Arabidopsis thaliana: one gene and its partners. The protein of the gene in region 3 interacts with the protein of the main gene of each other region in a pairwise test. Each region holds a gene or a part of one and is shown on either strand. Other genes may lie near its edges.

Region 1 (6,273 bases), on a different chromosome or scaffold from region 3:
CACTAACATGATCGTAAAAATGAAGATCTAATCATTGTTTGTCGCCGAAGATTATGATTTTGGAGAAACAAAAAATGACAACTGATGGCCACTAATGGGATAGGGAATATTTATTTATTTCCAAAAAAAAATCATACTAAAATTTTGGAAAATAGAAGATTTGGTTGTAAATGGTATCTTAATCTGATTGGTTATTAATTTTAATTAGGGGTTAATTCAATTAAAAAATTATCGTTTTGGAAAGTGTGTAATCCAAATCGTTGCGAGCGAGTAAAAATACACGCATGATTCTGTTTGGAAATTTGGAATCCAAATCGTTTGGTTGTTTCGATTTTCTCGCCGAAGATTTTTGCTTTAGAAGTAACAAAATGATAATTAGTGAGCAAAGTTAAATATTATTAACGGAATATATGTTATTTCCAAAAAGAAAAGTCTCATCCTCATTCTTTTGAAAATAGAAGATTTGGGAAATCGTCATAGTAATATATTATTTCTTTGTATCAAATACATATCCATCTACTATCCGGTTGTTGACCCTTAAAGCTTTTGAAGACTACTAGAATAATGCAAATACCATATGTCCATATCCATCCTTTTCTTTTGTTTGAACTGAACATTCTAATTTTGTAAAAGAAAAAACCTTATGTTAATATCACCGTAGGCAAAAAAAATATCTCATCATATTAAATTTTTATTATAAGATTATACATTCTCTCGTTGTAAGAGTTACTCCAATTGCAAGTGTTGTATTAACTAATAAAAAGGACGAAAGTAGGAAGCTTATAATTAATTGATGTTGCATAGTACTGGTATATTGTTGATGAATATAACAAGTATGAACATTAATGCATGAAACGGGGTATTTTGTCTTGAACTCATTAAAGGCAATGTGAAAAGAAGATGTGAGGTCTCATTTTGAAAATTTATCTTCTAGCTTTGTCGATTTTAAATCTATGAAATGAACGCAACATATAGAAATTTCATGTGGACAACGACATTTAGACGGTATCTTAATTAGACCGATTAATTAGTAATATACTTATATATATAATTAGTGGTGATTATAAGTTTACTTATCCACTTGAGAATTTAAACAATGGGCAATACCTTAATGTCGAAAGAAGCCGTCCCCACTTCGTGTAATGAGTTATGGGGGAGAGATCCTGTTAAATCGTCAAATAAAACAACTTAAGAACTAGAAATTGACACCAAAAATCATAAAGAGAACGTTGAAGAAGTCATTTATCGTATCCAGCTCATATTTCCTAGCTAAGATCAAATCAAGGCCGTTGAAAGGGCTTGTAAGAAAATGTCGAAGAAACCGTGGGGTTTAGAAGAAAGACAAGAAATAGAAGAACAATGATGTTAAATTGCCTATTTTGGTGTATAGGAGTTGTCAAAAGAGGAGAGAGAGAAGAAAATTAGGTCAAAATAATGAGCACTAAAAATGGAGACATGTGTTGAGTAACTATTACAAGAGCGACTTATGCTTCCTTATGGCAATGATATCCAAACCAAAGTGCAACGCTCCTTTTTTGCCCTAATTTCGTAAAGTCTCTCTCCTTCTTCGTCCTTAGGAAAAACCCTAGAAATTTAATCCCTTGTTCTTGATCTTGCTTTTTGAGTAACCATGATTTTGACCACACACTATTTCTTCTATCTTTTGTGGTCTATAGGATTTTGCTTTATATGTGTTTCTTGTATTGCTCCGTACGTACGTATACGAATTTAAATGGTTATAACAAGGTTTATATAAACTAGCACAAATGAGTCCATGAAATTTGTTAGCGAAAAAGGTAGAAATATATTGAGTCTTTAAACGGCAATATATATAATTTTGCTGCAAAACTTAGCTTTAATCATGATCTAATGATATTTTCTTTAATTTCCTTTGCCAAATTAATCACATGCACGGATTTTTGGCAAGTTATGTGTCGAATTCTTCCATTCACACAACACTAAACTTAATTAGAACTCTAGGAAATATTTTAAAATGACAACTTTATCGAAAAAAATTTAGTTATGAAAACAATTCCAGAATTAAACATGAGCTATATAATTTAAGATAAAATGAAGTAATATTGATATGTATGTAATAACATATCTGATTGCGGTAAAAAAAAACATATCTGATTAAATTGTTCATGCAGGCCCATGTCACTATGATGTCATCACGTTTTTATTTTCACAATAACTAATATATATTCAAAAAAATAGTTTTGTCAGATTAAATTTTTTTTGGTGGTCAGCTTTCTCCAACCTACTAAACTAGTTTGGAATGTTCTCTTCTTTATTTTTCTTTTTCTTGATTTCTTATGTTTTTTATTTATGGAATTTTAAGACGGATTGTTTAGGTCGTTTCTCTCTTTTCTTGTTTTCTAAAGTTACTTTTGTAAACTCATCTCCTCCCAATTAGACAGTCAATCATATAGTTATCTTTTAATATATGTCTAGTTGATAAAAAAAATGAAAAAATACTGGTGGTAGTTCTACTAATGTTTGTGTAAAAAATCTGATATTATGAATCTAATCAATTTCTTTGATCGTATAATGTGGGTTAAATTTAGTAATTTTTTACATAAATAAGAACTGTAATGTTGATGTATATTGGGGAATCAGTATATTAGCTTGGGTAACTATACTTCTGGAAATACTTGAAGATTTAACTATTTGCAAAATTATAATTTAGTCCCGAAAAATACAGACGACGGGACACGACAACATATAAGCAGGTTTGAATCTTGGAAAATTTTGTATACATAACCTATATAAATACTAATGTTCTGGTTGGGTTCAAAAGCCTTTTCAAAAGTTCCATTTTTTAAATTCAAGGACATTTTACATAGGAAATAAGTTGAGTCATAAAAAATAATGGTTATTTTGTAAGGTTTTTTTTTTGATTAAAACGCACATATTAAGAAGTTAGTTTTTTTTCACTACCAAATATCAATTAATTTAAAACCATGCAACCATTCATAAAACAATACTATTAAAGAATATAAATAATCACAAAATATTAAATACACTTAAAATTTACATATAAATTTACAAAACATCTAATTAATTGAAACAGAAAGGAAAAGGTAAAATATATCATAAAATGAGACATATATCCTATAAAAAAAAAATGAGGCATATGAAGTAAATAATAAGAGACATGCATGTAAGCATTCGGTTAATTAATCGAGTCAAAGATATATATCAGTAAATACATATGTGTATATTTCTGGAAAAAGAATATATATATTGAGAAATAAGAAAAGATGAAAATGGAAAATGGTATGTATAAAAAGAAAGGAGTGTGCGACTCTTGTGTCTCGTCCAAAAGCAGATCCAACCACAGCCCCAAAAGAAGCATGATGGAGCCTCAGCCTCACCATCTCCTCATGGATTGGAACAAAGCTAATGATCTTCTCACACAAGAACACGCAGCTTTTCTCAATGATCCTCACCATCTCATGTTAGATCCACCTCCCGAAACCCTAATTCACTTGGACGAAGACGAAGAGTACGATGAAGACATGGATGCGATGAAGGAGATGCAGTACATGATCGCCGTCATGCAGCCCGTAGACATCGACCCTGCCACGGTCCCTAAGCCGAACCGCCGTAACGTAAGGATAAGCGACGATCCTCAGACGGTGGTTGCTCGTCGGCGTCGGGAAAGGATCAGCGAGAAGATCCGAATTCTCAAGAGGATCGTGCCTGGTGGTGCGAAGATGGACACAGCTTCCATGCTCGACGAAGCCATACGTTACACCAAGTTCTTGAAACGGCAGGTGAGGATTCTTCAGCCTCACTCTCAGATTGGAGCTCCTATGGCTAACCCCTCTTACCTTTGTTATTACCACAACTCCCAACCCTGATGAACTACACAGAAGCTCGCTAGCTAGACATTTGGTGTCATCCTCTCAACCTTTTTCATGTTGATATATTATATATAGATGCATAAAGATTCGATCCAAGATTGTATGGGTGTTTTAATATTATTATTCTAAGATATATGATGTACAATTGTGTACCAAGTTTCTTTATCTTGATATCATATGCATAAATAATTGGTGAATAAAAAGAAGATATTGATTGTAAACAAAAAAAAGAAGATATTGATTGTTAATTAGGGTTTGATCATTCTGTATGAAAGCTTTGGCCTGCAAATTAATTTTCGATATATATATATATATATGGAGAATATATATCAAATACTTTTTTAATTTGACTATAATTTGTATCAATTATCTGAATCTGATGAGTGTAGGTTATATATGGATTAGCAAAAAAGAAAACAACCATTATTACGCACCTACATTAAAAATCATCCACCAAAGAAGAAACCATCCTCAAGAGGGTTCCCATATTGGAGAATAATGAAAAATTTAAGAAGAAAAGGGTCGAGATTTCGACGGACAAGCATTCTGATTATTACAAACATATTTTAGAGAAATTTAGAAAGAAAATTAAACTAAAAATTAAAAAGAAGCAAACTGAGATAACTCTCTGTCTCAATGGAACGCCGGCCAGAAGTGATCATCGTGATTTTGGTTACCATCTTGATAAGGTCAATCGAGGAGTGTATCCGTTTCAAACACCACACGTCCACTATATTTCGCCAAGTTAAATTGAAAGGAAGATGAACAATCAAGAGATGTGGTAGTTATTTTGAATTAAGCATATCCAAAAAGACCCTAGGCGAAGCTGAGAGATCGCAAGTTCGAGTGACACTTGGAACGAAACTAATATTACATGATGTGGTTTCGGGCCTAAAGGAATTACGGGCTTCGGCCCAGAACCTCCTGATATTCAAAAAAAAAAAAAAAAAAGATGTTTATAATAATGATCTTTGAAATTAAACCTCTACATTTATCATAATATTCCTAAATAGTACGTAAATAAAAAACATGCAACCCATGCATATCCAGTCTTAAGTTTATACATATAGATAAATCTCAAACCATACAAATACCATTGTTCTTGTGATTTTTTACTTCCATTTCCTTTTTCCTCCAACGGTGTCATATAAAGCTAACAAATAACTCGTGATTAAACGGACATTTCCAATATGGGCTTTTGGGCCCATAGTGATATGGGTCTCCTTCCGATATCTTTGACTGCGCGTGCCTCCAAAGTTGCTGTAGAGAACAGAAAGAGGCCTTCGATCCTGGCTTTGTCCAGACAAAAGCTGCCTCATCTACCTGGAACTTCGGTCGAGGTAGTGGTGAAGGGGGGATATGTAATCTCAGACAACTCCACAGGTGACAAAACTAGACGTAATCCTAATGGGGACAGGGTCGGAGCTAGAGATAGCTGCAAAGGCTGGAGAGAAGCTAAGAGAAGAAAGAAAAGCAGTGAGAGTAGTGTCATTGGTGAGTTGGGAGCTGTTTGATGAACAAAGAGAAGAATACAAAGAAAGTGTGTTACCTTGAGAGGTTTCAGCAAGACTGAGCATTGAAGCAGGGTCGACCTTTGGGTGGGAGAAGATGGTTGGCTCCAAAAGAAAAGCCATCGGTGTAGACAGTTTGGAGCAAGTGCACCAGCCAATGTGCTCTACAGGAAATTTGGACTCACCGTGGATACGGTTATTGCAGCCGCTAAAGACTTTTGTTAAGCTAAGCTCTCTTTTACACATCATAAAGACATTTTCTACGTTGTTCAAGTGTGCCTTTCCACATACATTTACCCGGACTCACTCACTAGTCACTATAAATCAATATCGTTATGTTTTTATCTTACAATAAGTGAATTTGAAGAATAAAATAGAGCTTTGATGGATATTACTATTATATATGCGGTCTAGTAGATGCGTGTTGTTATTATATTATTCCTTGAAGATTACTCTTTGCTTTTTTGTACCCCATGGATAAATGTGCCTTGGTATTAAGTTGCAAATTTGATTTAATTAATCCCTAAACATGTTACTAGTTAGAGTTTGCACGTGACGATCTTGGGCAGCACCTAAACATGTATTTGTGTGCGTAATTTTGTAATAAGTAAGTGCATCGAGTTTGATGAATCAGTATTTGAATGATAATTCGATGAAAGTACATTTGTTGCCATAAGAACCCTAAAGTAAGATCCATAAGGATGATGAAAGCTTCATTAATAATAAAAGTAAAGTTAATCTACCTATAATAACTAAATTAATCAAGAGTGAAACTAAATCTGTAGAAAATTAAATGTAAGAGATAGAGACTAGAGTGATTAATTAAGCTTTGACTATCCCTTAAATCCTCATAATCTCTTCTTGCTCTTTGACCATCTTCTTCTTCTCTGTGT
Region 2 (5,970 bases), on a different chromosome or scaffold from region 3:
CAAAAGCTCTCTTCTTTTGCCCAAACTCTCGCTTTCCCTTTTTTACACACAACAAAAAACAAAAGTTCTGTTATTTTCCTATTTAATCCATAACCATTACACATTTCCAATTTTCCTTTCATTGATCACATAACTCATGCCAAATCTACCTCATCTTCCTCCTCCACCGCAGTTGCAACCGCCCGAAACGCCATCATGGGAAACACCATCGTCTGTATGGTATACTCCAAGAACCACACCATGGAGAACACCACAGAGCACACAATCCACACCAGTTGGCCAAATGGTCTTAACAAAGCCAGCAACGGTTAGATTCAACGGTCTTGATGCAGAGCCGAGGAAAGATAGGGTGATTCTCCGTCAGCCAAGGAGTAGCAGGACCAGTCTCTGGATATGGTGTGTTGCCGGTTTCTGTTTTGTGTTCAGCCTTTTGCTTATCTTTTTTGCGATTGCCACTTTGATAGTGTTTCTTGCGATTAGACCAAGAATACCTGTTTTCGACATCCCAAACGCAAACCTACACACGATCTACTTCGACACGCCGGAGTTTTTCAACGGCGATTTGTCCATGCTGGTGAATTTCACTAACCCTAATAAGAAGATAGAAGTGAAGTTTGAGAAGCTTCGGATTGAGCTCTTCTTCTTCAATAGATTGATTGCAGCGCAAGTGGTCCAGCCATTCTTGCAGAAAAAGCATGAGACGAGGTTGGAACCAATCCGTTTGATCTCTAGTTTGGTAGGCTTGCCTGTAAACCACGCGGTGGAACTCAGGAGACAGCTGGAAAACAACAAGATAGAATATGAGATTAGAGGTACCTTCAAAGTCAAAGCTCATTTTGGAATGATTCATTACTCTTATCAGCTGCACGGGAGGTGCCAACTTCAGATGACCGGTCCACCAACCGGAATCCTGATTTCTCGTAATTGCACGACGAAGAAATGAAAAAGAATACGGTACAGTTCTCTGAGTCAGTAGTCATCTTCAAAGTCTTTAGCTTTGGCATGTTTATTCAACTATATTTCTATTTGCTTACCCACAACTTGTATAAAAGAAAAAGACCTAGTGAACTCTATCCAAGAACCGAGATCGGAGTTTGTACTATTTCCAAGATAAAGAAACTGGAAAGATATTATCTTTCTATGAAGCAGATCCATAATTGATCCACAAGACACAGTGCCAAGACCAATGTTGTATTTTAATACAGTTCAACATACCTGAACCACCAGAGAAAAGAATTAAGACCAAAAGCAAAAGAGGTACAAGCATTAGATGCCTATGTTGGTTCCCTTTAGGACTTAAAGTAATCAAAATCAGTAAAACACACAAGAAGAAGCTTAACCATTTTTTAGCATATACCAACACAGAGGATTTTAATATTCAAAATCTCAACTTTGATCAAAAAAAAAAAAAAAAAAAAGATACAATGGTCTCAGGAAAGAAAAGTTGCAGAAATTGGTTGGCTAAAACCACAGCTGGTTTCACTAGACAGGTATGTAAAGCTGATTGTATATAAAACCCCACAAGTCTCAGCTAATGGGGCTTTAAGAAACATCACATGTCTAACGGTAGACTGAAACAGGGATCATCTGAAACTCCTTTCACATTTTTTACTTATTTTATCAGAAAGAAGTAAAGCAACCAAATCTCTTTCTTTTTTTCTGTAGTCCCTCAAACCAACTTGCATCACTTGATTAGACAATACCAACTTTGAGTATCTAGATTCTAGAAGAATTAAAAAATGAACAAGAAACTTCGCATGTCTAATGGTGGCATGAATATAGTACCATTTTTCTCCCCAAATTCCTTTTTCGCTTTCCCTAGGTGCTGTGATCTTTCTAACGATTCAAACTTAGCCAAATGGACAACAACCTTGAGCATTCTCTCTATTCATCTCTCAAAGCGTAGGTACAAAACTTAATATCAGGAAACCATATCAAAACAAAAAAGACCTTGACCCTCATAAGATAAAGGGAAATCAGTTTGAAAATGGTGAATCATGTGGCGATTGGCGAAAACATTATTTATATCCTTCAATATCTATCTCTCATTTAACACAATCCTGATCGAGCTCTTAACATTATTAGAAGGTCCAGAGAACAATATCCAAAGCAAATGGACCAAAAGAAGTAAAAGAATCAGGACCTGACTTCTTCCAATGTTACACCCTCAAACCTCAGCAGGAGTCTTTGCCACAATAGAGAGAGCATGTAACCCGCTCTTCAACTCATCTTGCAACAAGTCATATATCAGCCTATGTCTCTTGACCAAGCTTTTACCTTGGAAAGCATCCGAAACGATTCGCAAGTTGAAATGTGTTTCCCCATCATCACCAGCACTACCTCTAACAGCGGCATGTCCTGCGTGCTGGTAAGAAACATCTTCAACTTCTAACTCAACAGGATCTAGCTCCTTCTCCAATTTCTCTCTTATCCTCATCCCTCTACTCCCTAAAGCAACAACATTTGACCCACTCTCAGAATCATCAATCTTTTCTGTTCCCAAATCCTCAACTAGATCAGGTTTAGACTCCAAATCCACCTCCGGAACATTAGCTTCGTCCTTAGTCTCAGGAATAGACACAAAGCTGGATTCTGAACTCTCTCCAGAACTTGAATCTTCCTCACCTTTGACTTCCAAATGAAGAGCCTTTTTCTGCATCAGCTTAAGCATATTAAGTAATCCATTGTTTCTAGAAGGAGACAGACTCTGCTGCAACCCGAGAAGAACAGCGAAATCAGGTGTTATCCTCAAAATCTCAGGGACAGGTCTTCCAGATAAACCCTTGACTAATAGAGCAGCTAACCCTTTAGTGAGAACCGAATCAGAATCAGCTTCATACACAACATTACGTTCCTCATCAAAGAAAGCCCTAACCCAAACCTGAGAAACACATCCTTCTACTTTATTCTCCCTCGTCTTGAATTGAGAATCGAGAGGTGTCAGATTCTTCCCGTAGAACATAAGCTGCTCGTATTTAGCCTTTGGCTCTTGTACCGATTGGAAAAGCTTGACGATCTCTTGTAGCTTCGGTGGAAGCTCTTCGATTGGTTGAAGGTCTCCATAGCTCGACGGAGATGATGAAGCCGATGGTGGAGGAACAATCCCGGTTGAAATTTTCTGGAAAGTGATGATCGTCCGGCGAAAGGAAGGAACTTCCGACGGTTTTAGTGGTCGTAGAAGAAGGGTTTTGGCCGGATAATGGATTGAAGAAAACAAGGTCCGTTTGAATGGGATTAAACGAAGCGAGGAAGCGCAACAAGAAGAAGACATCGCTGCTGCCATAGTCGCGAACTTGAAACTTCGAGAGAGACTGAGATGATGATGAAAGCTCTCCTTCTTCACTTTTTCTGAGTCAAAAACCAATACCGCCAATTAGGTAGTAACCGGGAATTAAACCGGGAATGTACCAAAATCCAAAAATTAGATGTAAAATCAATTGTGGGGTTGATTATGAATAATTAGAAAGTATACGACTCTTTTCATAAATAAGGAAAAGAAAAAGATATCTAGATTTTTTTTGTTTTGTTTTGAAGCATCGTCTTCCTGGTTCTTCGTTCTCTTGCGTTCGTCACCTCAAACACGTCCGCCATTATTATATATCAAATCAATCATGTCCGAATCCAGCTTTTACCAATGTAAGCAATTAAATTAAATTAAATAAAAACACTTTTATCAAATTTAATCAAATTAAAAAACTGTCCCTTTCTTATCTGAGATTCTATTGTTTCTGTCTACTTCCACAGAAAGAAACTGCATCTCCGTTTTTTTTTCTGATTTGAGGCTTTCCTTAGATCCTTGAGAGCAAAACTGAATCTGGGTAATTTTAAAAATCTCATTTTTACGACTTATCTCTTTTGAACGATCTGTTTTTTCATGTAAGTACGATTTCACCTCGAGATGATCGATCATTGCTCTTCTGGTTCTTCCATGTTTGATTAAATGTTATAACTTGAGGGTTTTGTTTCTTTTGGATTGTTCTCGCATTTGTTGATCTATGGTTATCAAAAGAGTTTGGATTTACAGTTTTTGGTTGCAGCTGAAATTTTTCACTCTTTTCTTCTCTGTTTTGCTGGATAAAGTTGGATTTGATTCACATTGTTGTTTAGAATCTAGATGAAGTTGTAAGATTCCTTGTATTGTGTTTGCTTATGCATGATTGTGATAAAGATTTAAGTTATTTTACCAATGTACAATGTCCAGAATTGTCGTCGGGATGGGTTCTAAGTCCGTTGTTGACATGATCGAAGCTGCCTCGCGGGCACATTTTTCTGGTTTACACGTGAATGGGCACATGAATGGGTTGGAACCAAGTGCACTTAAGGAAACCACTTCTGCATCAGAAGATATCCAAAGACAGCCTTTTGTAATAGGTGAGTTCTGCTTTTGCTTTCATTTTTGATTAATATATGGTCGTGGATAAAAAAAGCTTGACGAATGGTCTTGATTGATATGTTGTGACTTGAATTGGTTAGGTGTTGCTGGAGGCGCAGCATCGGGAAAGACTACTGTTTGTGATATGATAATCCAGCAACTGCACGATCAGCGTGTTGTACTTATTAACCTGGTAATTTTGTTTTGCTAATAAAGTTTCATAGAGCTAAGTGATAACCACCGGTTTGATTTGTGTTTCGAATGTATATGAAGTCAATTGAATTCCACACAATTTAGAGATCTAAAAGGAGAATATTACCAGCTAATAACTTATATATGGCTGAAGTTTAACATTGTTCAACCTTGTCACCATTGTTTAGATATTTATGTCAGTCTATTTATCTAATTCTCAAATTCCTTTGGCATCATGATAAACCACAAATTGCTCGACTTAATATCCTATGATAATGATTTTTGGCAGGACTCGTTCTATCATAATCTGACTGAAGAAGAACTTGCTAGAGTTCATGAATACAACTTTGATCATCCAGGTGAGAATATATTTGGAGTGTAATTGCTTTCTGTAATCTACTCTTGTCAATACATAGTGTCATCAGGAGTAAAAAATCTTTCCTAGCTTCTTTGGCCATTTTTTTTTTTTTTATAATACTTCTTTGGGATAATTAAGGCATAACTAACAGCCATATTATTCAGTGATATCTTACTAATTGATGTATTCTCTTTTATTAAAGCAATTTCATCCCTGACAGCACATTACTAGTTGCTGGGAGTTATGAGAAAAAGTCTTGTGCATTACTCTTTGTCATCCACCGTTAATTTCTTTTTATCCAGGATTCTAATGAATTGTTGTTGTTTCTGTAGACGCATTTGACACAGAGCATTTATTGTCTTGTATGGAGAAATTGAGGCAAGGGCAAGCTGTAGATATTCCAAAATATGATTTTAAAACTTACAGGAGCAGTGTTTTCAGAAGGGTACCACCTTCCCTCTCAGCATCACTCATTATCATATTGTTACTTGATGTTTATAAATTTGAGATTCCTTTTTCATTTTCTCACTGCCTCTTTCTGTAACAATAGCAATTTCTTAGATGTCACCACTGGCTTTTATCTGGTTGGGGATTTAAGGGGAGATCAATTTAATCTTATTTGATGCTAGGATTTTGAAAAACATTCTGCAGGTAAATCCTACAGATGTAATAATTCTTGAAGGGATACTTTTGTTCCATGATCCACGCGTCCGAAAGTTGATGAACATGAAGATTTTTGTTTGCACAGGTAATTTGTTGCCTCTTCCCGTTATAATTATTGTAAACTCTTGTTTCGACTACATTCCATTTCCCTTTTGTAGATTCACTTGGCTTTTTTTTTCTACAAAATTTCACATGATGGAACAACTTCTTATGCTTTAAGATTTTGCTGTTTCACATTGCTTATTTTGTTTTCTGCGTAGATGCTGACGTTCGTTTGGCAAGAAGGATAAAAAGAGATACTGTCGAGAATGGTAGAGATATCGGCACAGTACTTGACCAGGTTAGCCCGTCTTAGTATTGTTACTGTATATATTATCATCAAGAA
Region 3 (6,586 bases):
TTGATCAACTGCAGTGGTCTTATGCATTTAGAACGAACATTATAAGAGAGGAACACTGTTAGAATCAAATCCATTCTAACTAAGCTTTTGATATAATGATTTACTGGGAATACATAGAGACTTAGGATTTGGTAATGGATCTCCTCCTATTCCCCCTTACAAATGCAAAGCTTGCTATTTCTTGTTGCATATGCTTTATAGCTGCATTAAACTTTAACTCATTTGTTATATTAGGAAAAGATATAGTAGTAAAATCCTTGGATTTTAGTCTCAGTAACCATATCAAACTCACACTCCCTCACATATGCGCATTGACTTGAGTTCCAAAAAACATCATGGCATTGCTCAAATTCTGTGTCAAGAAATCTTCTTGCCAAAGCAGATCCATAATTGCTCTGTTTTGTTTTTCCTGATGTCTACGTTGAACACTGCAGATGGCTGAATACAGAATATCTATATATGGCAGAAAAATGAGCGAGTGGGACCAACTCGCTAGTTGGATTGTGAACAATGATCTATACAGTGAGAATGTTGTCTGGTTAATTCAGGTTAGCCATCTCTTTGATACTTGTGTGCTCCATGTCCTTCCATGAGTGTATGTGTTTTTTTTGTCTCCGTGTGTTTGTAACATGACTGCTAACTGAGCTATATTTTCCTTGTTTTCTGTTTGTCTGCTCACTAGCTCCCACGCTTGTACAACATTTACAAGGACATGGGTATTGTGACATCGTTCCAGAATATCCTGGACAATATATTCATTCCTCTGTTTGAAGCCACGGTAGATCCTGATTCCCATCCTCAGCTCCATGTTTTTTTGAAGCAGGTTAGCATTCATATCTTCAAATAACCTCTAATCCGCATGTCTTTACACAATAAAGAGTTGGTTTGACTGGTTGCTGTCTCTTGTTTGCTATTTCAGGTTGTTGGATTTGATTTGGTTGATGATGAAAGCAAACCTGAAAGACGTCCCACAAAACACATGCCCACTCCAGCTCAATGGACTAACGCATTCAATCCTGCATTTTCGTATTATGTCTACTATTGTTATGCTAACCTCTATGTGTTAAATAAGGTACCATTCCTCTTAGTCGCTTCTGTAACTAACTTGGTGTTCTCAAAACTGTGTAATATGGAGTAACTATTTTTCTTCAGCTTCGAGAGTCAAAGGGCATGACTACTATCACGCTACGACCACATTCTGGAGAGGTGTGTTATTTCTTCCTTTGTGCTAGATAAACAGTTTTCAGTTACAGTTCAGTGGAATTTTAACATGTCTACAAATTTCAGGCTGGTGACATTGACCACTTGGCTGCTACGTTTCTAACATGCCATAGCATCGCACATGGAATCAATCTGCGAAAGTCTCCTGTGCTTCAGTATCTGTACTACCTCGCCCAGGTTTGTGGAGACTGCCTGCATGTATTACATATGTATTATTGTTTCTGTTCTAAGAAGACATTTCTTTTGACAGATTGGTCTGGCCATGTCACCACTGAGCAACAACTCTTTGTTTCTAGATTACCACCGGAACCCGTTTCCTGTGTTTTTCTTAAGAGGTCTCAATGTTTCTCTGTCTACTGATGACCCCCTTCAGATTCACTTAACTAAAGAACCTCTCGTGGAAGAGTATAGCATAGCTGCATCAGTAAGTCATAATCTTTCCATTATGCAGTCTTGCCACACATCATAGGCCTTGAAAAGTTGATTATATTTTTAAAAGTCTTATTAGTTATTACCTTTAAATGATTTATACTGATCTTCTGCAATTGCAAACACGAAGAACAATGAAATTTCTCTCTATACATCCTTTTCTTCTAGGTTTTAGTTATATTTATGTATTAACTGAAGATGATAACTGGATTTTTCAGGTTTGGAAGCTGAGTGCGTGTGACCTGTGCGAGATAGCTCGTAACTCAGTGTACCAGTCAGGTTTCTCACACGCCCTGAAGGTACTTGTTATATCAACATGGCCCATAGTATGAATGAACAAGATGTCTCTGTTCCGATCTACTAATAATACTAACTTGTTGAGATGTTCCAGTCGCACTGGATTGGAAAAGATTACTACAAAAGAGGACCTGATGGAAACGACATTCACAAAACAAACGTGCCACACATAAGGGTGGAGTTCCGTGACACGGTATGGAATGAAATATATTTATTCTTCACACAAGTTAATTTCTCTTTGTAGGAAAACAAATTAAAAATATGAAGTTGATGCAGATCTGGAAAGAGGAGATGCAACAGGTTTATCTGGGCAAGGCTGTTATCTCTGATGAAGTTGTTCCATAAAAACCACAATCAGAAATGGCAAGACGTAAGAATCCAACATGTATGTAACAACTCAATGATCTTATCACTTCTGTTACAACATTTTCTTATGATGTCAATGATTGAATTTCAGATTGCAGGGGAACAAAGAGAGCATTTTGAGAAGTATACGAAAGCAGGAACCTAGTAGATAGGGTAATAATATGAGTGGCTCTGTGCCCTGAGAAAGCGATTAGGCTGTGCCAAAATCTTATTGTTTTATAAAGCTTTTTAGATAATGAGATACAAAGAGACCAGTTGAGAACCGGTTTTAATATAATGGATTTCAGTTTTTGGATTACATACTGTTTTAACTTGGATTCAGATTCAATTTTTAATCAGAAATAGCATTATGTTCGAAATCCAATTTTGTTTGTTTGTTTTGGTTCTGTTTTAAACCATACTGAGATCTGTTTACCGGATTAAACACATGTTTTTGGGTCACATTGGTAGATTTGGCTTGATCATGAAGTGAACTAGACAAATGTTCCTTTTGTTTCATAACAGACTGAAGTATGGAATGTGTAAGAAAAAAGAAACTAAAGCGGGTCCCACTTTTCCGAATTATGGTATTTAAAACCCAAGTATCATAAGGCCTTAATAACAGTCCAATTCAGGCCCAATGGATAAAATCCTATGTCAAATAAAAGAGCTCATCATTTTCCACCGATAACTTTTCTCAGCTCCGACAAAAATGGCTGCAATCACCATTTCTTCCTCCTTGCACGCCTCAGCCTCTCCGCGTGTTGTTCGTCCACATGTTTCTCGAAATACCCCTGTGATCACCCTCTATTCACGCTTCACACCATCCTTCTCCTTCCCATCTCTCTCCTTCACACTCCGTGACACAGCTCCGTCTCGTCGTCGTTCCTTCTTTATCGCCTCCGCCGTCAAATCTCTAACGGAGACGGAGCTGCTTCCAATCACAGAGGCTGATTCAATCCCGTCCGCTTCCGGTGTATACGCTGTATACGATAAGAGCGACGAGCTTCAGTTCGTCGGAATTTCTCGGAACATCGCTGCGAGTGTCTCTGCTCATCTCAAATCTGTGCCGGAGCTTTGTGGCTCCGTTAAGGTACTTATCCATGATTTCATATAGAGGAGTAGCATGTCTGTTACTATAACGAAGGATTCTTTGTTTTGTTGTGGTTGACTTTTGTTTATTACTGTTCATAGATTTGGGAAGTGTTTTGGTAAATGAATACTACAAAAGTTCATCACTTTAGTTCCAGAGATAGTATTTCATATCATTAGGATCACTATTGTTTGCAAAACTAGAGCTAATGAAGTTCTTGGTTCTGTTGTTGGTAAGAGTTCTTTTAACAACACTTACCACACATTATGATTAGGAGATGCATCAATAGTTCATTTTGTATATGTTACTTAGGAGTTAGGACTTGTTTTTTTAGCATTTTCTTTTGATTAGTTTTTTAGGGAAATTCTACTCTATAGATACAGGACAGTGCGCATTGGCGAGATTTGTCGAGGTTTGAGAGGTATATCGGTTTTGTACCAATGGAGAGAACTGATTCTCTTTGGCATTTTGATTACCATTCTGTGTCAGGTTCTTTTAATTAATAACAAGAGCTTTTGTTTTTTTTGTGTCCATGATCCTTAACTGTATCAGCTTACAACAGTCAAATCTAAAGATTGCTCTTGAGAAATTTACATTTTTATGGGTTGTATTATTATCTTAAGAATTTACATTTTTCCTCTTTCTATCATTTATTTGTCACTTATTGCTTATATTTTGCTTATGATTTACTTATGTTATGATTATTTTAGTGTTTATTTGCTCCATTGACTCAATAGGACTTTGTTTATGCTCATGTGATGGATATTGACAAGTTTTGGTATTGTTGATATATCTTCCATAACTGATTTCATCATTGTTTTGCTAGGTTGGAATAGTAGAAGAACCAGATAAAGCAGTTTTAACACAAGCATGGAAATTATGGATAGAAGAACATATAAAAGTAACTGGAAAAGTTCCGCCGGGGAATAAGTCAGGGAACAACACATTTGTCAAACAAACTCCGAGGAAGAAATCCGATATCCGTCTCACTCCAGGTCGCCATGTTGAGCTCACGGTTCCTTTGGAGGAACTGATTGACCGTTTAGTGAAAGAGAGCAAAGTGGTAGCTTTCATAAAAGGATCAAGGAGTGCTCCTCAATGTGGATTCTCACAGAGAGTTGTTGGGATTCTTGAAAGCCAAGGAGTTGATTATGAAACTGTTGATGTTCTTGACGATGAGTATAATCATGGGCTAAGGGAGACGCTTAAGAACTACAGCAATTGGCCAACGTTTCCACAGATATTTGTGAAAGGAGAACTTGTAGGAGGATGTGATATTTTGACCTCAATGTATGAAAATGGTGAACTTGCCAATATCTTGAACTAGTTTCATCCGATTTTCTTCTCTATTTCTAGTTGTAACTCCAAACATTCATTATAGAGAAAACATGCTTGGATTCTCTTCCATAGTTACAGATTCGTTTTCTGTTTTCCGCATTTATAAAAGGTTACAGATTCTATACAAATCTAAGAGTAGGTTTAAAACGCATAACCATCCACTAAATTCACCTATTTTGTGGTCATTTAACCAATGATTTTTTTTTTTTTTTTTTTACACTAATTGTCCCTTTAAATATATATGTTGAAACAAAACATAATTGGAAATGGAGTTAAGTAACTATTGTTACGTTAAATGATTTAATTGATTAATTTAGTAGCATTCTTATTCTTGTAGCACGTTTATTAGAGAATTATTGTTCTTCTTTGACATAATCTTTGGGTGAACTAACACAAAATATTCATTTTAAGTACTAAATTCTCATTTGTAGGATGAATATCTCAAAAATAACACAAATATTCTATGGTATTCATTTGTTACAACTTATATGAGTAACAAACGTTCATGAAAATTGAAAAATATGATGATGACGAGGTTAGTTTATGGGTTGTATTTTCTTTTTATTTTTTTTTTGGAAACTGAAAAAAATTAAATGAACAAATAAAACAACAAGTCAACGGTCTCAAAAATTCGATTACATAAAAACAAAACAATAAAAAAATATAAGTCAGACTGTAAAATAAGTTGATAGGTGTTGATTCTGAAAATCACACAATAAATTTGTTTAAAGGGGATAAACAAATTTACTTAACTCTCTCTCGCTATTTAGTGACCAAAGGCTCAATGAAAAGAAGAACAAAGTTGGTTAGAGACAAAGTTAGGGTTTTGCTCAAGAACAATGAAGAAAACTAGGGTTTTATTATTAAGTTTCGGATCCTTAGAATAGAGGACAACTCCCTCCCCCCTCCCCCTATTTATACATTATTAAGACGATTAAAAGATATGTTAAACTTTCAATTCTTCGAGGCTTGAATCTTCTAATTTCCTTTATCTTCGAAGACTTGCTATTTTCAAAGGAGAAAACTTCTTTTTCTTCGAATTAGGAAGTCGGCTAGGCGGTCTCCCTACTTGGGGCTAAAGTCGGCAAATGACCTCCTTATTTTGGCTCATTAACAGGCTAAACCGGGATACCCCGGTTTGATTACAATCTCAGTCTAATTCGTAATTCCTCTGGTTTAAGCCGGTATTGTCGGAGGTGCTAATTCCTGCACCAACAATAGAAATAAATGTAGTCGATGAAAATGAAATTTTATAGAAGTTAGTAGATTTTACTTTTAGGTACGATTCTCTTCAATGTGTTCCCTCTCGCTGTGATTGATTGATACTCTGATGGTAAAAATCTCTCTTTGTTTGTATCCGTCTTATTCACAGCCAAAGATGAAGAACAATTTAACATTTACACCAAAAAAGATGAAGAACCTAGCGAAGAGTGCATTCGTGTCTCACAAGGGAGAGCTCAAGAGCATTTTCGTGGTGAAGAAGCTTCACTTGACTTGGGTCATGTCGCCAAGAGTTTTGCTCAGAGAGAACAACCGTCTTTAGTTGGGAAATCGCATGATAAGGAATCAATGAAGAGAAAAAGAGACGAATGTCAAAAAGGGCAACAAGCTAAGAAGAGAAAGAAGATGAGTGGTAGTACTAGTGCCAATACAAAAAAAAAAAAACTTGATCGAATCGGTTTGGCCATCATAAACCATAGCATAAGTTTGTTCATCGAAATTTTTGAAATATCTAAGTTTTGAACTTAACTATGTTTTTGTTAACAATAATAATTACTTGTATCAACCAGAAACAACAAACTGAAATTTAGGCAGAAGTTAGTGGATTTTGTTGCATTAAAAATAAAAATGGCCGATGCCTAA
Region 4 (5,804 bases), on a different chromosome or scaffold from region 3:
GGCCTTAAGACCCGTCGTAATGGCGTAGGTCCATTGGTTGATGAAGAAGGAGACGCATTTTTTTATAATCTTTTTGACCGAATCATTGTGGATACGCATGAGCTGTTTTGTTTAATTATTGTATTAAAATATGTATACATAGCCTTTAATGGTAATTAATATTGGTATATTTTAAGGGAACAAGACAAGATTAGGCTTAAATAATAAGATCAATTTTCTTTTCTTTATCCATTTCTTAAGTACTTTTATTGGTGTGTGTTTTTAATCGAGTGTCCATTGAGAAGACTCAAGTGACAAAGATGATTCACCAAGCAACTCCACATGTATGTCACAACATTTCATTAAATACTTTTCTCTTACTCCTATTTAATAATTACTCCTTAGATACATCTTTCTGACAACAATTATAAACTTTTTTAGAATTACTAAAATGAAACTACTGGCACAAATTGAAACCCCCGAAATTTTCATTTTTTATTTATAAAAAAAACTGTATAAACATTATGGTCAACAATAAATTATATACCAAATCTAGTTTTGGTTTGTTAACTATTTAATACCTAACTTATAACCAAAAAGCATGTCATTATCACTTTTAAACTCTTCATTTAATCTAATCGAATAAAATGTTTAAATAACTCCATCTTTTATGGAGTACATTTTATTTTTCTATTTCTATTCATTCATTCCGTGCTTTACACATCAACGTTGAAATTAAGAACCAAAATTTAATTTAAAAAATCACGTAATACAGTAAAACCTATCAATAAATGCATACGATGCGACTTGCCACTGAAAAGAGTTTGAACCATATTAATCTTATTTCTCCTTAACCGGATTCGGTTTACCATAGACCAAACCCAAAACCGGCTTCAACTAATTACACTCAATTCCTCGGGAGATTGTTAATTAAACAGTAAACAACCCTCTGACTCACTAGACTTCTGAATCTTTCACAAAAGAATACGTCTTTGTAGGCTTTTGCTTTCTACCGTTGCTTACAAGCTTCCTCTCCACCGGATTCTCCTTCAATTCTCCATCTTTATTTGTGTAATAAGAATCCAGAATTTGCAATAACGAGCTCTCTTTACCTTCTTTACTCATCATCTGTTGCTTCTTCTTCTCTGGGTTATCTCTCTCTGAACCAGAATCTTCTTCATCCTCTGAGAGTGATGGTTCATATACTGGAAGCTTTTTGGTCGTCGGGTGGGTAGTTGTTGTATCAGAAACTGGACCAAGTTCTGCGAATGCCAAGTCCGAATCATCTTCTTTTGACTTGGCATTTGGTGAAGGAGTTGAAGGAAAGATGTATCCAGATGCTATTCTCACTCCATGCATGACTCGAATCAGAGACTGCAGGTTGTCGTAACCGAGCTTGTCAACCGCTAAATGGTACCCATACTCCTCTAAGAAGTCTTTCCTGAAACGAATCAGGCTATACCCTTCAGGGTGTTCCTCTGTTATCTTCTTTATCATCTTCTGACAATCCGCTATTGCATTACTTTTGTATCTTTCCAGCTCTTTCCGGTCCACAGAACCAACAGAAACTCCAGCATGAGCAACGTTCTTGCCGCTTTTCTCACCATTTTGTTTCTGCCACTGTGATTTTGAAGAATCCGAGAAGATTGAGCTCAAACCGTTTGAAGCATGACGGTGGCCAGGGCTAGATCCTTTGATGATTCTGAATGGTAAAGAAGAAGATGGGGTTTCTTCAATCCATTTCTTTTCTGATATTAGCAAAGTAACTAAATGAAGCATGCTTGATTCATCGAGCAGTCTGAGACACGAAGGCCCTTCCTCCTGCACATTTTTAGCCATCACCTCCCTGACCAGGTTAAGACGGAACAGCATTAGCTGAATACTCGTCCCAAAAAAGACAACAAATGGCTAATGCAAGAACCAATTGTAATAGTTCTGAACCTAAGATAGATTTACATATTAATCAATATCTAATCAAAGTCCTGCCAAATCAGGAGGGAAGAGAATGTACGCACCTTGTCCTCGAGTGAGATACTATAGCAAAGCCTCTTGGAGAATTAATGAAAGATTCAATATCACTCCAAAAATACTCTTTTGCAAATATGTCTTGTACTTGAGAATCAACATTGACAAGCTCCTGATTCCCACTAGAGTCTTTGCTAGACTTTGTATTCTTTCCCCAGAACTTGAAACTCTTCAAAAGGCGACCTAAAAAGCCTGGACTTGCATCTTTATCTTTACTGTCTACGTCATCAGCTCCAACTTTTACCTCATCGACCGACTCAGCAACGAAAGAAGGTGAGATTTGAGACATGGGCACAGTTCCCTGACTCGATGACTTTAAGTCCTTATCCTCTTTATGTTTGTTTCCACTTCCCTGACTTGATGACTTTAAGTCATTATCCTCTCTATGTGTGTCTCCACTTCCAGAAACGCTCTTCATTTCTGGGAGATGCTCTAATTCCATCTCAGGTGAACCATACCACAGTCTTTTTAGCTTTTGAAAAAAGCCATCTTCCATGGACGAATCACTCCACGCAACAAGAGCGACTTGATTCGTCTCGACGGGTTTAACATTTGCCTTAACATCCTTCTGGCCGACCAGAATTGGGTCTTGAGAACTCTCTGATGATTCTTCTTTAACAATTTTATCACTCTCCAATACCTTTTCCTGCTTCTTTCCAAGTAAGCCATCTCTTCTTCTTTCAGCAGCAAGCTCTACATCGCTAATTAGCTTTGGTGATGGAGCATTAACAGTTTCCTTATCTTTAATCTTCTGATCAACAGCAGTAGACAAACGAGGACTAGAATCAAGCCGCATCGGAGGCTTCTTTTCGGTAACAGCCCGAATCATAAACAAGCCTTCACTTACTGTAGTAACCTGTAAGATATCTGGCATGGATAAAAGAAACTTCGAAAACTTCTTATGTCCATAGAAATCTTTATCAATAGCCAAGTTGCTCTTACTCAGCTCAGCACGTAGTTCTGTAATGGCAGCCCCCTTGGGATATAAACTCACTATCGAACGAATCTTATCAACAACTTCTTTTGGAATAGGACGAAGGTTAACAACAGCATTCGAATTCACAGACTCGGATAGTTCTTCGATTTTCACACTAGACGAAGATTGCTCAGTAGTGGTAGCAATAGCAAATGGATCAAGAAGAGGAATCCTATAGTGACCATACCAAGAGTTATAAGGACCATCAGGAGGCTGATTAAAATGCTTACCAGTAACACACTCTCCTTTAATCAAAGCATCCCAATCCCACATAATAGAAGCAGCACTACACAAAACACCAGGAGCTGATGATTTACTCGCAAGCAAAATGTTGTAATTGTTCATCCTCAATCTATGTAACACACTTGCAAACTCCTTATCACTAGAGATTAGCAAAAGATGAGCTGGTGGTGGATTCTGAGAAACCCAACACATAAGATCTGTGATTAGAGATCTATCAGCACTGTTCTTACCACCGTTAGGAACATGAGTGAGACTGATTCCTGTAGCGGAGAGAGCGTCTTGGTTTGATCTGGGGAGCTGTAAAACGTCACCGAAGGCTGTGATTGTGATTGGTCCTTTGATTCCGCTGTTTCTGATAGCGGCGGTGATTGATTGTGCTACTTTGTAGACATTGGTGTCTACAGGTAAGTTACAGCTCAGGAAGTCCCACCAGACCGAAACCCTAACGGATCGGGACTCTTCGTCTTGCTGAGGACGTCGAGAGGGAGAATGGCTGGATCCGGAGACGAAATTGGAGCCGGAGGTGGTTGTGGTGGAGAATGGAGAGGAATGAATGTTAGTGATGAAAAGGGTAATTGTTCGACGGTGAGATTGGGTTGTGGAGGAAGAAGAGAGGCGGAAGAGAAGGGATTTGGATGGTAAAGATCCAAACTTCATGGTCGGAGAGCTATTTTTGCTCCGGGAAATGGAGAGACTGAGAGGGTTTTAGGAGTGAGGAAGACGAAGTAAAGGAAAGCAGAGCTTAAACCCTAGTTATTATTTTGGAATTGTCGATAACCGAATGGTATCCCAATTGAACCAAACTAAACCGTACTCTCGCTAAACCAAAACCAAATAGCGTATGGTTTAATATTCTAATTCAATGAGTACAGTAATTAGGGATTTCAATTTTTGTTTGAGAGAGAGAGAGAGAGATGGTGACGAAGGAGCAAGTCGAAGCTTCATTGACTTCGAAACTTAAGCCAATTCATCTCGTGAGTGTTCTTATACTGCTTTCTTCTTTCAATTTCATCTATTGATTAGGGTTTGAAACTTTTGTGGGAAACTTTGAAACCCTAATCATCAAATTGATCTGGGAAAATTGCCAAATTTGAGATTTTTGACCTGCTCACTTTGATCAAAATCATACACTTTGATAGTTGGATCATAAGAGGTACTATGTATTGTAATAATCTCAGCATCTAGATTATACATCACTATGTGTTGTCTTTCAGCTCTGAAACAGAATATAAAAGGTGGTTGTTTGCGTAGTTAGGTGTAATTTGATGCAGTGTGATACTGAGCTCAGGATTTGATGACGTAGTGTTCCTGATGTATTAGCAACTTAGTAGTGAGTGTTCTTGTCGGAAAATTTTATTTGTGTCATGGTTTTTTGTGAACTAGAACTCAAAAAGCAGATCCAAGGATGTGTATAGTTTCTTTGCTTTATAACATGTGAAGATTGAAGTTACTTCAATGTCAATCTATTTCCCTTTTCACTTGATTCATGTGTTCCAATTGTTTCAATCTTTAGCTTTTAGAATTTTTTAGTGACATTGTTTGTTTTTGTGTGTACCAGGAAGTCATTGACATATCTGGAGGGTAAGTACCGGATTGTCAATACACATTTGATTCTCTGGCTTATGGCATAATTTCTTGTTCTTAATATCAGCAAAACTGTTTATTGCAGTTGTGGTTCGAGTTTTGAAGTGGAGGTTGTCTCTGAACAATTCGAAGGGAAGAGATTGCTGGAGAGGCATCGTATGGTGAATGCTGCGCTAGAAGAAGAAATGAAAGAGATTCATGCTCTCTCTATTAAGAAAGCTCAGACTCCACAACAATGGAAGCCACCATCACAAGACTCTGCAACCTTAACCAAAGATGCCTGAATTTCTGTTTTTTAAAAGCCTTGTGACAAAGAACAGAGCATTTACTATGTTGATACTTTGTGGTTACTGTACTCCGATTACTGCTTTTGATGAAGTGTAAACACTTTTTTAAAACATATGCAATTGGTTGCAAAATATAACAAAAATTGGGTTTTTCTCAATTTAGATGGAGATTTTTTTGAGAATTTTACCATGACACCATCTTAAAAAAGAAAAAAAAGACCAATGGGATTGGCTAAATTTTATAATAGAGTCAGTGCAGTGTATGGTGGGGGGGAGAGATAGATGCTAAAAGATGGATAAAATAACCAAAAAAAACTGTCCATTCTCCTCCCCATAAATCTATCTCTCTCTCTTTTTCCTCAAATCCCATCTTCTTCTTCTACTTCTTATTAAGCTCCATTGGGTTTAGAGATTCTGGTGTATAAACTGCTAATGACGAGTAACCTTTTCCAGCCACCATCAATGGCAGCTTCACGAGGAGCAATCTCGAGAAGAACAGGAAACGTGAAAGTATTAGTCTCTTTCACCAGTTCTAATGGCAAAACGCTGAGTTTTAGTGACAACTCATTTAGGCTCAGACCCATGTTCATCGGGAAAGTCACAGAACAGAGTTCTTGTTCCTCCCCAAATGAACAACAACAAGATGAAGAACAAGAACAAGAACAAGAAGAGATTACAGTTTCTCATATAAAAGAAGAGCTCTACGAAGC

What was found.
Region 1: the proteins of CXIP2 (region 3) and IND interact in binary tests that used the Arabidopsis thaliana proteins (3 or more experiments, as listed by UniProt).
Region 2: the proteins of CXIP2 (region 3) and CPSUFE interact in a two-hybrid assay, tested with the Arabidopsis thaliana proteins (one study listed by BioGRID).
Region 4: the proteins of CXIP2 (region 3) and AT5G09830 interact in a two-hybrid assay, tested with the Arabidopsis thaliana proteins (one study listed by BioGRID).

Annotation. Positions count from the first base shown.
Region 1 is NC_003075.7:40,194-46,466, reverse strand, and holds IND (basic helix-loop-helix (bHLH) DNA-binding superfamily protein), read left to right. Parts: upstream 1-3,269; coding exon 3,270-3,866; 3' UTR 3,867-4,802; downstream 4,803-6,273. UniProt on the Arabidopsis thaliana protein: Transcription regulator required for seed dispersal. Involved in the differentiation of all three cell types required for fruit dehiscence. Acts as the key regulator in a network including SHP and ALC that controls specification of the valve margin.
Region 2 is NC_003075.7:13,380,289-13,386,258, forward strand, and holds CPSUFE (chloroplast sulfur E), read right to left. Parts: upstream 3,354-5,970; 5' UTR 3,284-3,353; coding exon 2,168-3,283; 3' UTR 1,910-2,167; downstream 1-1,909. Other genes in the region: AT4G26490 (Late embryogenesis abundant (LEA) hydroxyproline-rich glycoprotein family), read left to right, coding at 137-943; UKL4 (uridine kinase-like 4), read left to right, coding at 4,215-4,371, 4,474-4,565, 4,854-4,923, 5,255-5,367, 5,574-5,670, 5,846-5,925. UniProt on the Arabidopsis thaliana protein: Participates in cysteine desulfurization mediated by NFS2 in chloroplast and NIFS1 in mitochondrion. Activates the cysteine desulfurase activity of NFS2.
Region 3 is NC_003071.7:16,029,473-16,036,058, reverse strand, and holds CXIP2 (CAX-interacting protein 2), read left to right. Parts: upstream 1-2,889; 5' UTR 2,890-3,004; coding exon 3,005-3,385; intron 3,386-4,211; coding exon 4,212-4,712; 3' UTR 4,713-4,874; downstream 4,875-6,586. Other genes in the region: FAC1 (AMP deaminase, putative / myoadenylate deaminase), read left to right, coding at 435-548, 683-823, 920-1,072, 1,153-1,206, 1,288-1,398, 1,472-1,645, 1,869-1,949, 2,042-2,140 and 1 more. UniProt on the Arabidopsis thaliana protein: May only reduce GSH-thiol disulfides, but not protein disulfides. Participates probably to the maturation of iron-sulfur proteins and to the regulation of the redox state of the BOLA proteins.
Region 4 is NC_003076.8:3,057,103-3,062,906, reverse strand, and holds AT5G09830 (BolA-like family protein), read left to right. Parts: upstream 1-4,081; 5' UTR 4,082-4,137; coding exon 4,138-4,197; intron 4,198-4,781; coding exon 4,782-4,804; intron 4,805-4,892; coding exon 4,893-5,091; 3' UTR 5,092-5,304; downstream 5,305-5,804. Other genes in the region: AT5G09840 (Putative endonuclease or glycosyl hydrolase), read right to left, coding at 937-1,825, 1,995-3,880; AT5G09820 (Plastid-lipid associated protein PAP / fibrillin family protein), read left to right, coding at 5,527-5,804. UniProt on the Arabidopsis thaliana protein: May act either alone or in interaction with glutaredoxin as a redox-regulated transcriptional regulator, or as a factor regulating Fe-S cluster biogenesis. The GRXS17-BOLA2 heterodimer binds a labile, oxygen sensitive iron-sulfur cluster.